Linked DNA regions of Cricetulus griseus. The protein of the gene in region 3 binds, or shares a complex with, the protein of the main gene of each other region. Links are inferred from orthologs where the notes say so. Each region holds a gene or a part of one and is shown on either strand. Other genes may lie near its edges.

The links.
Region 1: Cwc27 (region 3) and Scnm1 share a complex: the UniProt entries of both Homo sapiens proteins name them as parts of the minor spliceosome. The link is inferred for Cricetulus griseus from reciprocal best matches to the Homo sapiens genes CWC27 and SCNM1.
Region 2: Cwc27 (region 3) and Gpkow share a complex: the UniProt entries of both Homo sapiens proteins name them as parts of the minor spliceosome. The link is inferred for Cricetulus griseus from reciprocal best matches to the Homo sapiens genes CWC27 and GPKOW.

What each region holds. Positions count from the first base shown.
Region 1 is NW_023276806.1:61,367,406-61,371,154, forward strand, and holds the start of Scnm1 (sodium channel modifier 1), read left to right. Parts: upstream 1-1,172; 5' UTR 1,173-1,288; coding exon 1,289-1,339; intron 1,340-1,724; coding exon 1,725-1,795; intron 1,796-2,034; coding exon 2,035-2,123; intron 2,124-2,220; coding exon 2,221-2,315; intron 2,316-2,415; coding exon 2,416-2,504; intron 2,505-3,749. Other genes in the region: Lysmd1 (lysM and putative peptidoglycan-binding domain-containing protein 1), read right to left, coding at 192-387, 939-1,051. UniProt on the Homo sapiens protein: As a component of the minor spliceosome, involved in the splicing of U12-type introns in pre-mRNAs. Plays a role in the regulation of primary cilia length and Hedgehog signaling.
Region 2 is NC_048604.1:114,158,982-114,162,730, forward strand, and holds the start of Gpkow (G-patch domain and KOW motifs-containing protein), read left to right. Parts: upstream 1-1,384; 5' UTR 1,385-1,466; coding exon 1,467-1,636; intron 1,637-2,545; coding exon 2,546-2,706; intron 2,707-2,807; coding exon 2,808-2,932; intron 2,933-3,749. UniProt on the Homo sapiens protein: RNA-binding protein involved in pre-mRNA splicing. As a component of the minor spliceosome, involved in the splicing of U12-type introns in pre-mRNAs.
Region 3 is NC_048595.1:323,089,826-323,093,474, reverse strand, and holds part of Cwc27 (spliceosome-associated protein CWC27 homolog), read left to right. Parts: intron 1-2,552; coding exon 2,553-2,696; intron 2,697-3,649. UniProt on the Homo sapiens protein: As part of the spliceosome, plays a role in pre-mRNA splicing. Probable inactive PPIase with no peptidyl-prolyl cis-trans isomerase activity. As a component of the minor spliceosome, involved in the splicing of U12-type introns in pre-mRNAs.

The DNA of each region.
Region 1 (3,749 bases), on a different chromosome or scaffold from region 3:
CTGGGATAGTAGGGCAGGTCTGTGAGTGTGGATAGTGCTACCCTGAGAGGTGTAAACAAAATAAGACAAAGCAGAGACCACAATATAATTAATATAACATCAGGGAAGGCCGCTTAGCAGACCACCCAGTTTCTCCTGGGCACTAAATCTCTCCTGAATGGTCACCACACCACAATCCTTGGAAGACTCACCGTCACCCCGTATTTGAGTGCTAGTCCAGCCAGGGTGTCTCCAGGCTCCAACTGATGCTCCAAGCGTCTTTCCCTCACCGGGGAGCACGATGATTGTACCAGGCTTCCATAAGAACGAGCACGGCTCCCATGCAGCAGCCCTGACCCCCCAAGTGGGGGCTGTCTAGAGGGAGAAGCCATCTCAAGATGCCAAGATCTAGGGTCACAACTGAGGAAAGCTAAGTGACCAACAGTGAGGGCCGAACCCCAGGAATGGATAGATATTCTAGGAATTCCTTCTCACTTCTCTCTTTAGTGTCCCCGCTCTCGAGAGACTACATCAATGCTCCTCTTGCTGCTGCTTACCGAGCTTGGGGTCACAGTCCGTACCCTAAGAAGGCTGCCAGGCCGGTTACATTTCTCCTTCCTCAAGACCCTTGCCCATAAATATCTTCCCTGAGTGGTCGGTCGCCGACCCCTTCGACTTTCGACGCCCTCTCCCCAACTCCTTGCAAGCCTGATCTCTGACCTTTGAACCCTAGACACCCTCATCAACACTCTCCCCTCAGTGTGTCCCCACGTCCCGCAGCCGGGCCGCCGGGAGCCCCCACATCCTCTCTGCTCCAAATCAGGCCCACCCCAGGTAGATCGTGGCTGTGGACGGTGAGCCTGGGGACTGAGAGAGTTTGCAGTACACGGTCCACTGAGATCCCCGAAGCCTCGCTCCACGCCAGGAGGGTCCCACCCTGAAACTCCGGCTCCACGTACAGGTTCTTGGTCTCCAAACACCTGGGTCCTTCGCGATGTGAGTGCCTGTACTCAGGTGAGCGGTGAGGTCTTTTAAAAACAACAAAAAAAAGAAAATAACTAAAAGACTTCATTTCCCAAAAGGCAAAGCGTTCTCAGGGCATCATAGGAAATGCAGGCACCCTCAGGGCTCTGGAGGCGGGTCTTCCGGCTCGCGCGGTGCATGCGTGGAAACGCATCCCCGGAAGTAAAGACTTAATCAGAAAAAGACCGGAAGCAGGGAAGGCGATAACCTACTCTTCCTACGGTGGCCCGAAGGAGAGGCAAAGTAGGCGTAGGAGAATTTATTATTTCTAAGACTCACAGTCGTGATGTCTTTCAAGAGGGAAGGTGACGACTGGAGTCAGCTCAATGTGCTCAAAGTAAGCCCTAGTGAGAGTCTACCCACGAGCAGTGGTGGCGCACGCTTTGAATCCCAGCACTTGCGAGGCAAAAGCCGGTGTGTCCGTGTTGCGTTTGAGGTTCGAGGCCAGCCTGGTCCACACAGCCAGCTCTAGAACAGTCAAGGCTACACGAAGAAACCCTGTCTCGAAAAATCAAAGAACTAGAGAGAGGGAGAGCCCAGCTTCAGTCGCGCTTTGCATTGTTTTGTTGCTCTGGCGACATCTGTGGGAGGGGGTTTCGGGGGCCAGAACTGAGTGATGCCTCCTCCTTCTTACCCTATGGTCTGCTCCATTTGACTCTTTATCCCTGTTATTTCTTTTCATCCATCCCTCATATTCGTTTCTCCTGTCCTGCTCTCTGCAGAAACGAAGAGTTGGAGACTTGCTGGCCAGTTACATCCCAGAGGATGAGGCGCTAATGCTGCGGGATGGACGGTGAGAGCAGAGTGGATCAAGCCTGGGGATTTGCTATCAGAGGCTCAACAGACTTTGGTTTCTAAGGAGATCAGGAGTGTAATAGATCCTTTGGTTGGAAGTGAAGATTGGAAGAGGTGGCGATCGGGAGACCTGGGCGTTGGTGGAGTGCTTTGACAGGCATAGCCCCTAAGTAGGAACACCCCAACCACCGGCTCTCCAACACATACGGGTTTGCCATTCACTTCTCTTTTCCCTAGCTTTGCTTGCGCTATCTGCCCCCATCGACCAGTCCTGGACACGCTGGCCATGCTGACTGCCCACCGTGCAGGCAAGAAGCACCTATCCAGTAAGTACAGGAGAAGGCGGGGAGTGGAGGAATGATAGAGAATACACTCTGAACATTTTGTCAGTCTACTTGATGTTGTGCTTGCTTTCCTTTTCAGGTTTGAAGCTCTTCTATGGCAAAAAGCAATCAGGCAAGAAAACAGAGCAAAAACCAAGACAGCAAAATGAATTGAAGACAGAAAGCAAAGCCGAGGTGAGAGATCTGGTCAGGTGTTGTTCAGGCAGGGCTGTACTGCATGCAACAGGACTTTTGCCTAACATCTCCAACTGTGTCTTCTTCTCTTGATAACCAGGCACCTTTGCTAACCCAGACTCGATTAATCACCCAGAGTGCTCTGCACAGAGCTCCTCACTATAGCAGTTGCTGCCGGAGGAAGCACAGGTCTGTAGAGGGGGAAATCCGGAAGTGGGAAAGGGTAGAAGGAAATAGATGGTTCTGAAGTTACTGCTCTCCAAACTGTACTCTGAGAAACACTAATCTTGTGGAGATGTTGTTTAAAGAAAAATGATAGTTTGTGGTTTGTTTTGTTTTTGTTTTTTGTTTTGGTTTTTCAAGACAAGAGTTTCTCTCTGTAGCTTTGGAGCCTATCCTGGCACTTGCTCTGGTGACCAGGCTGGCCTCGAACTCACAGAGATCCCCCTGCCTCTGCCTCCTGAGTACTGCAATTAAAGGCGTGGGACACCATCGCCTGGTGATAGTTTGTGATTTTAAAATAAATTTTAGCCGGGTGTTGGTGGCTCACACTTTAATCCCAGCACTCCGGAGACAAGGCAAGTAGATCTCTGATCTATAGAGTGAGTTCCAGGACAGCCAAGTCTACACCAAACAAACAAAAACCCTGCCTTGAAAAACAAAATAATGCACACACACACAAAAAAATAGTAACATTATTGCTGGATGGTGGCACACGCCTTTAATCCTGGCACTCCAGAAGCAAGGCCAGTGGGTCTCTGAGTTCCAGGCCAGCCGGGGCTACAGAGGAAAAAAAAAAAAAAGTAACATAATCTGGGCATAGTGGTACACTTTTTTGTTTGTTATTGAGAGGGGATCTCCCTTTGTAGCCCTGGCTGTCCTGGAACCCTGCTATTTAGACCAGGGTGGCCTCAAACTTACAGAGATCTGCCTTTCTCTGCCCCTTAAGTGCTGCAGGTACTAAAAGTGTGTACCACCATACCTGGTTATGGAAAATCTTGAGGCAAAAGCGTAGAACTATTAAGCTGGCTTTTCTCAAGTTCCTAATTCCAAAATCTTTCATATGTAAAATATTTAAGATCTTATGGAACTCAAGCTGGGTGTGGTGGTATACACTTTTAATCCCAGTACTTAGGAGGCAGAGGCAAGTGGATCTCTGTAAATTTAAGGACAGCCTCATCTACCTAGTAAATTCCAGGTCCATCATATGTACTCTATCTCCAAAAAAGCAAACAAAAAAACCTCAGGAACTAGCCAGGCAGTGGTGGCTCACGCCTTTAGTCCCAGCACTCTGGGAGGCAGAGGTAGGCAGATCTCTGTGAGTTCTAAACCAGCCTGATCTACAAGAGCTAGTTCCAACAGCCTCCAAAGCCACAGAGAAACCTTGTCTCAAAAAACCGAGGAAAAGAAAAAAAAAAAAAACAAAAAACTCAG
Region 2 (3,749 bases), on a different chromosome or scaffold from region 3:
GATCCTGGAAGGGAAAAAGGACAATAGTTTATTTAACAGAGTTACACCCAGGGCTAGAGGTGTGGCTCAGTGATTAAAAAGAAACAGTATTATGCAAATGTTAATCTCATGTTTTTGATAATTTATAATATTGTTATGGAAAATCCCCAGGGTCATTTAGGTAAAAAAAAAATATATATGGGGGCTGGATGTGATGGCACATTCCTTTAATTTCTGCACTTAGGAGGCAGAAGCAGGCAAATGTCGGTGGGTTCTAGGCCACTCATTGCTTATAATGAGACCCTGTCTAAAAAGGGGAGAGGGAGGAATTTCAAAGAATATATATTCTGACCCTCCCAACCACCACCTGTTGTTAAGGCTGAACTTGCAACAACAGTCCTGCTCTCACCAAGAAAGAGAGAGAGGGAGAGAGAGGGTGGAAGGGAGGGAGGGAGGGAGGGATGGAAAGAGAGAGAGAGAGAGAGAGAGAGAGAGAGAGAGAGAGAGAGAGAGAGAGAGAAAGAAAGAAAGAAAGAAAGAAAGAAAGAAAGAAAGAAAGAAAGAAAGAAAGAAAGAGCTAGCACCCAGGCAAAGGGGTCCCAGCCTGGCAGTTCCCTGTCCTTTATGCCGAAGACCAGAAGACATTGCCTCATCCAAAAGCTCAGAAAACTGCAACATAGAAAGTATTCCAGGGCTGGAGAGATGGCTCAGAGGTGAAGAGCACCGGCTCCTCCTCCAGAGAACCCAGGTTCAATGCCCAGCATCCACATGGCAGCTCATATAGAGTTTGTCTTAGACTTGTGACAATTCCTCCTGCTTTGTAATTCCAGTTTCAAGAGCTCCTACACCCTCTCACAGACATACATGCAGGCAGAACACCAATGCACACAAAATAAAAATAAGTAAGCCGGGCGTGGTAGTGAACACTTTAAATTCCAGCCCGGCAGAGGCAGAGGCAGAGGCATTTTTTAAAGATTTATTTATTTATTGTGCATACAACATTCTGCTTCCATGTAGATATGCACACTAGAAGAGGGCACTAGACCTCATAATGGATGGTTGTGAGCCACCATGTGGTTGCTGGGAATTGAACTCAGGACCTCTGGAAGAACAGTCAGTGCTCTTAACCTCTGAACCATCTCTCCAGCCCGATTTTGTGTATATAAGCATTTTGCCTGCATTTATTTATGTGTGTCACCTGCGGAGTTCGGAAGACAGTGTCGGATCCCCTAGACCTGCATTACAAATGGTTGAAAACCTAGGGAGAATCAATCTGCCACCACGGTTATATCACTGAGAACTACATTTCCCAGAATGCGCGGCGCGGCGCGTTCCTATGACATTTCAAACCGTTTACCAGCGTGATCGGTTTTTCCCACGGCTTCAAGACCTGTCCTTGAGGCATTGCGTCTCGGCCGGCCCCTAGCGAATTGAGCTTAAACTAAACTTCCCAGCAAGCAGTGCGCTAGCCTGGGACTCGGGACAAGATGGCGGACCCAAACAGTGTGCCGCGGGCTGCCCCTTCAACGGCCCCGATTTCTTTCGGTTTCACTCGCACGTCTGCCCGGAGGCGACTGACAGACCCCAGAGATGGCACAGGACGGGCCTCTGAGGAGAAAGATTTCTTAACGACCGTGGAAGGAAGGGAGCTACAGAGGTGAAACGCTGGGTCTTTCACGTTTTGGAAATCGGTGCGGTGGGCGGAGGGCAGAATACGAGTTGTTTGCCCTGATGACAGTGATTTAGAAGGCCTCAAACACGGCCTCAAGAAGTTTATGGAGGCATCCGGGAGTGGTGGCAAATGTTTATTAATGTCAGGACCCGGGAGGTTGGCACCGGAGGATCAAGAGTTGAACGCTAGCCTGGGCTGTATGAGAGCCTATATTTAAAAAGAGAGAAAAATAATTAAAATTTAATTTATTATTAAATTTAATAATTTAAGGGCAAGGAGGAGGTTTGTTAGAGAGGTGGGTGAAAATGGCGCCTGATAACCAAAGGTATATATTCCTCAGAGAAAAAGTCATTGGGACTTGAGGACATGTGCGTTTTGAGAAAGGAAAAGGAGGGAGAATGACAAGACTTTTAGTGTCTCAACTGAAATAGTGGAAGCTTCTCCGATTTGGAGAATGCGGCAAATACAGGTTTGGGGAGGCCATCAGCAGCATAATTAAGAAACTGATCTGAAAGACCTAAGGGAGGGACTAATGGAAGACAGCTGTCCGGAAGGCTGTTTGCTAGCCTGAAACTGGGGAGAATCTCGACCGAAGATGGTGATTTGTAAGTCATTGTGGTTGAGAGTCCAGGAATGATTTCCATAAGACACATTTAAAGCTGAGGACACGAGGAGAGGTGATGCTTGCTTGTAATTTCAGCACTAAAAGGTTGCACCAAGAGGACAGAGTTTATAAGACCAGACTGGGCTACATAGTGAGATAACTGTTTCGAAAAGAAATGGGAGGACCTGCGGAAAAATAACTTGTGGAACATGGTCCTTCGGCTGGGTGTAGATATCTCCACTTTCTAACACTTGTACTTTCCTAACCTTTTCTCTCTGTCCCCACATCAGTGTGAACCCTCCAGAAGCCCCCAAGGAACTAGTCATCCCATTGATCCAGAATGGCTCTCGGAGGCAACCACTGGCCAAGAGCCCTAAGACATCCTCAGAAACTAAGACTGTATTAATGTCAGATGGTGTGCTGTCCCAGGCTGTGAAGGAGCTCATTGAGGGTAAGTGAAACCTCCCCCTTTGCTCTGCCCCAGTACAGGTAGACAAGGAGGAAGTTGGAAGGATAGAGTATGGCCTCATTGATCCTCCCATTCTTCCTTAGAATCCAAGAAGTCCCTGGAGGAGAGGGAGAATGCAGGTGTTGACCCCACGCTCACTATTCCCATGATCCAGAAAGGATGCAATCCCAGTGGGGAAGGAACAGACAGCGAACCTCAGGCTGAGACAGTGAGCTGCCCCTTTGCCATCCTCCCCCATCATTGCCTCTACCCCGTCTGGCTAGCCTCCTTGCACATAGCAGGGAAACTGTGCATGTGTGTCCCAGAGCCTTGCCAACTAGCCTTTCTCCCTTCCATCCTTATTAGAAGCTTTAACAAATAGATAGCAGGCTGTCCCAAAAAGTACTTGAATTCTGGTATTATCTGATAGAGGTGGACAGCAGAGTGGATGGGAAATACAAATGCTATCAGAGTACACACTGTTGGGAGGCAGAGGCAGGCAGATCTCTGTGAGTTCGACAACAGCCTGGTCTACAGAGTGAGTTCCAGGACAGCCTCCAAAGCCACAGAGAAACTCTCAGAAAAAAAGAAAGAAAGAGTACACACTCTTTGGAACCACTTTTGCTTGTTTCCTCTTTTTTTTCCTTCTTTCCTTGTTCTTTTTAAACGTGTAGTATGTAAAGAACTCTAAGGAAACCAGTGTGACTGGATTGGAATGAATGAGGGGTCAGGCCATAGATGAAGGCAGAGGTGACCAGATCAAAAGGGCCTTCTGAGCCACGGGGAGGACTTTTTCTTTTAGTGTGAGTGAAATGAGAGCTATGGGAAAATTCTGAGCTGACAAGGGTTGTAACAGGATCCCCTCTGGCTGCTGTGACCCAAATATGACTAATAGTGAAGGTAAGGAGGGAAGCAAGTAGCCTAAGTTCAGGATAGAGGCGGTAAGGACACTCAGAAGAGTGGCAGGAATGAAGCCTGGAAGGTTAGGGTCTGGTGAGACAAGAAAGAGATATGTCTCAGTACATTTTTGCTTTGTTTGTTTTTGT
Region 3 (3,649 bases):
GTAGTCTCCTTGGGCTACAACAGTCTGGGGAGAAATGAGAATTTCTTTCTTTCAGTTGTGGAGGCTAGGAAGTCCAAGTCATAGTGTCTGACCGCCCCACTTCCTGCCTTGAAGAGCTCTGGGGATGAAACAGCCAGGTCTGATGCCCTGATCTTTGCTTTTAAGGCCATGAACCCTATTGGACTAGAATGGGAACACAACCCTTATGACTTCTTCTCAGCTTTTCATGTTTATAACGATCACCACCTTGTCAGAGCCACAAATACAGCTGCACCAGGGATTAAGACCAATATAAAGCTTTTGAGGAACCAAGCTTCCACACTGGAGCTTACTGTATATTATGTACTTACTGTCCACAAAAGAATGCTATAGCACAAAGCCATGCATGATTGACAGTCATAAGTGAGCAGAAGGAAGAGCTAAAAATATTAGGGAAAAGATATATTAATCAAAAATGGATACATAATTTCTTATTTAAATTTTTTATTAGATTTATTTGTTTTATGTGTGAATGTTTTGTTTGAATGTTTTAAGTTTACCATGTGCTGCTTGCTGACAGCCAAGGTCAAAAGAGGGCATTGGAACCCTGGAACTGGAATTATTGATGGTTGTGAAGTACCATGTGGATTCTGGGAATTGAATCCAGGTTCTCTGCAAGATTAACAAGTGCTCTTAACTGCTGAGCCATTTCTCTAGTCTGGACTGTGACTTCTTGAGTACTAGCATAAACTTAAGAAGGAAAAGAGTTAATCTGTTTAAGAAATTAGGGACAATTATGGACTTAAATATGGTTCTTTGAGTGAATAACTGTCAGTGGTTCTAAAAACCAGGAAACTTTTGAAAACTTCATATTTATTCTAGTAGGAAAGAGTGTCTGGAGACTCCTTTCATCTTTTCCTGGGTCACTGTTATTTCTAATTATTTCAAAGTTTCTATCGAGGGTCCTGCTATGTTGCCTTGGTTAGAATTTCAGTATAGTACAGACTAGCCTTAAATTTGTGACTGTCTTTGTGCCTGAGCCGCCTGCGTGCTAGGATTGCTGGCATGTGCCACAGTTTCTCACAACAGCATGATCTTGATTGTTGAGAAAAACAGTGGAACTTCTTTTTAAACTTTGTCTCCAGACTATAGTCACCCTGGAAAGTAAGACACAGTATTTAAAAAAATCTCAGTTGTCACTGTTAATCACATCTCATAATTTTAGGACCTCTACTTTGTAGGAAATATCCATGTATCAGGATATTTATTTAATTTAATTTAATCCCATTGTTTATCCTAACTTCTCTGTTGGTGTTTCCTTTCTGAGATTTTTGCTTTGTTATTTTAAAATACTACAATAGGGTTACTGTTGTTGTGGTAAAATACCATGACCGAAAGCAACTAGGGGAGGACAGGGTTTATTTCACTCACTGTTTCACATAACAGCCTGTCATCAAAAGCAGTGAGGGTGGGAACTCAGGCAGGGCAGGAACCTGAAGGCAGGGGCTGATGCAGAGGCCATGGAGGGGTGCTGCTTACTGGCTTGCTCCTTGTTCAACTTGCTTTCTTGTGGAGCCCAGAACCACCAACCCAGGGATGGTACCACCCAACAGTGGGCTAGGCCCTCTACCATTAACCAGCAACCATGAAAATGCTTTACAGCCTGATCTGATGGAGGCATTTTCTTAATCAAAGTTCCCTCCTCTCAGATGACTTTAGTTTGTGTCAAACTGACATAGAACTGTCCAGGACACATGGTGTAGAAATGCCACACATTCAGGGGATTTAAACAACAGGAGTATTTTACTCTCATTCCTTTTGAAAGCTATCAGTCAGAGGTCAAGTTGTTTGGCTCTCTGGTTCCTGGTGCAATGGACTGAGTTCAACTCTTAAGAAGAATGTATTAAAGAAAAATAGCATCTAATGCTTGAAAAGCACTGATTACAGAGATGGGTGTATCATAGATGATCCCAGTGTAGGTCTGAGGGGAAATCCTAAGTAGCTCTCAGAACAAGGAAAGTACCCAAGGAACAGTGGTCCTGCACTGTTACAATCTGCCAAGTGAGACTCTTGCCATCCCTGAAGAGTCAACTTAGGGATTCTTAGGGCTTTTAAAAGCACAGTAAAATCACTAACACAACTTGATTAGGTCTCTGAATTTAAAAAAAAAAAAAAAAAAAAAAACAAGAAGAAAGCCACTGCTTCAAAACATGTGGATCCAGATTGGAAGGAGACTAGCTGGCGGCTTCACAGTGACTCAAAGATAGGTTTCTTTCGTAGGGAAATGATATTAGACCCTGAGTCCCTCTGAGTCCCTTCCTCTGTGTGTATGTAGACTTCCATAAACAGCTATGTGGCTGAATATATTTAGAAGATACAAGTTGCTGAATTCAGGTTGAAGAAGATTGAACAGATAGTAAATTTGGATTTGATTGTACTTCAAAATCAGTTAAATAAAGCTTCAGCATTTTTTATTAGAAATTGTCTGAGCCTCACTAGTCTGCTGCATAGCTGATTGAATATGAAGGGTCTTGTGACTGAGAACAGTCACTAAATCTCTTTCATTCTTGCAGGATGAATTTCACTCCAGGTTGCGTTTTAATAGGAGAGGACTGGTTGCCATGGCAAATGCTGGTCCACATGATAATGGCAGCCAGTTTTTCTTTACCCTGGGTCGAGCAGATGAACTTAACAATAAGCACACCATCTTTGGAAAGGTTAGTGTCCATTTGTTAAGTGTGTAGTTCGGTTTTGGTTTTATGATACTCTTTAAGTTTCTATGGTACATCCACAATTAACACATAATGTCTGTCTTCAAAAATGTTATGCTGTTTTACTTACTGTTTTCGAAAATGATGGAGTATGTTCCTATTATGCTGAACTTTAAAGGACTACCTGAACTTTGGGTACTTTAAGCCAGTCATTTGTCGTCTACACATATTCTTTGTCACAGTGGTGGCATTAGCTACTTAAGGCCACTTAGCCAGTGTTGTTTGTACTTTTAAAAAGATACTTAGCCAAAACTATTTTACAATTTAAAGTTACCAATGGTAAATCCCCTTAAATTTAAAGTGGAAGTTGTATTAGTAATTAAAACTTTACTGGAATCATTACTTTGAACAGTTATCTATTTAATCCTGCTGACATTTAACAACAAATGAAAACATGATCTTCCGATAGAATTTTCAACAGTTCTCTTTAGAGAGGGATCCTGAAGGTGTCTCTCCCTCATCCTCTTCCCTTCTCATCTGAATATCCCTGCATTTAATGCTTAGACATAGTAGATATTAATAGCTTTTTAGCCCCCTCTGCTGGTTCAGTAAGAATTGCTTCCCTATGTCCTAGGCAAAAGTGAGTTTTGACTATAAAAGGATGGAAACAATTCAGTACAGTTGGACAACTGAACCTTTGAATTTGAGTCATACCCAAACTGTAAGATGTATCATTGTTGCTTACCTCTTAAGGACAGGAGTTAGGAAATATGTACTGCCATGTTCTTTGATGCATTCCTAATGCAGGTTTTTCTGGCAATCATGGATTTTTTCCTACTTGTAACTTTTTTTTTTTTTTTTTATTAGCAAGATGAGACTTGAGTTCCCATCCTGTACTGTGTTTTACACTCATTGCTATATAACCCAGGCATGAGAGAACATACAGCATGGCAGTCTTT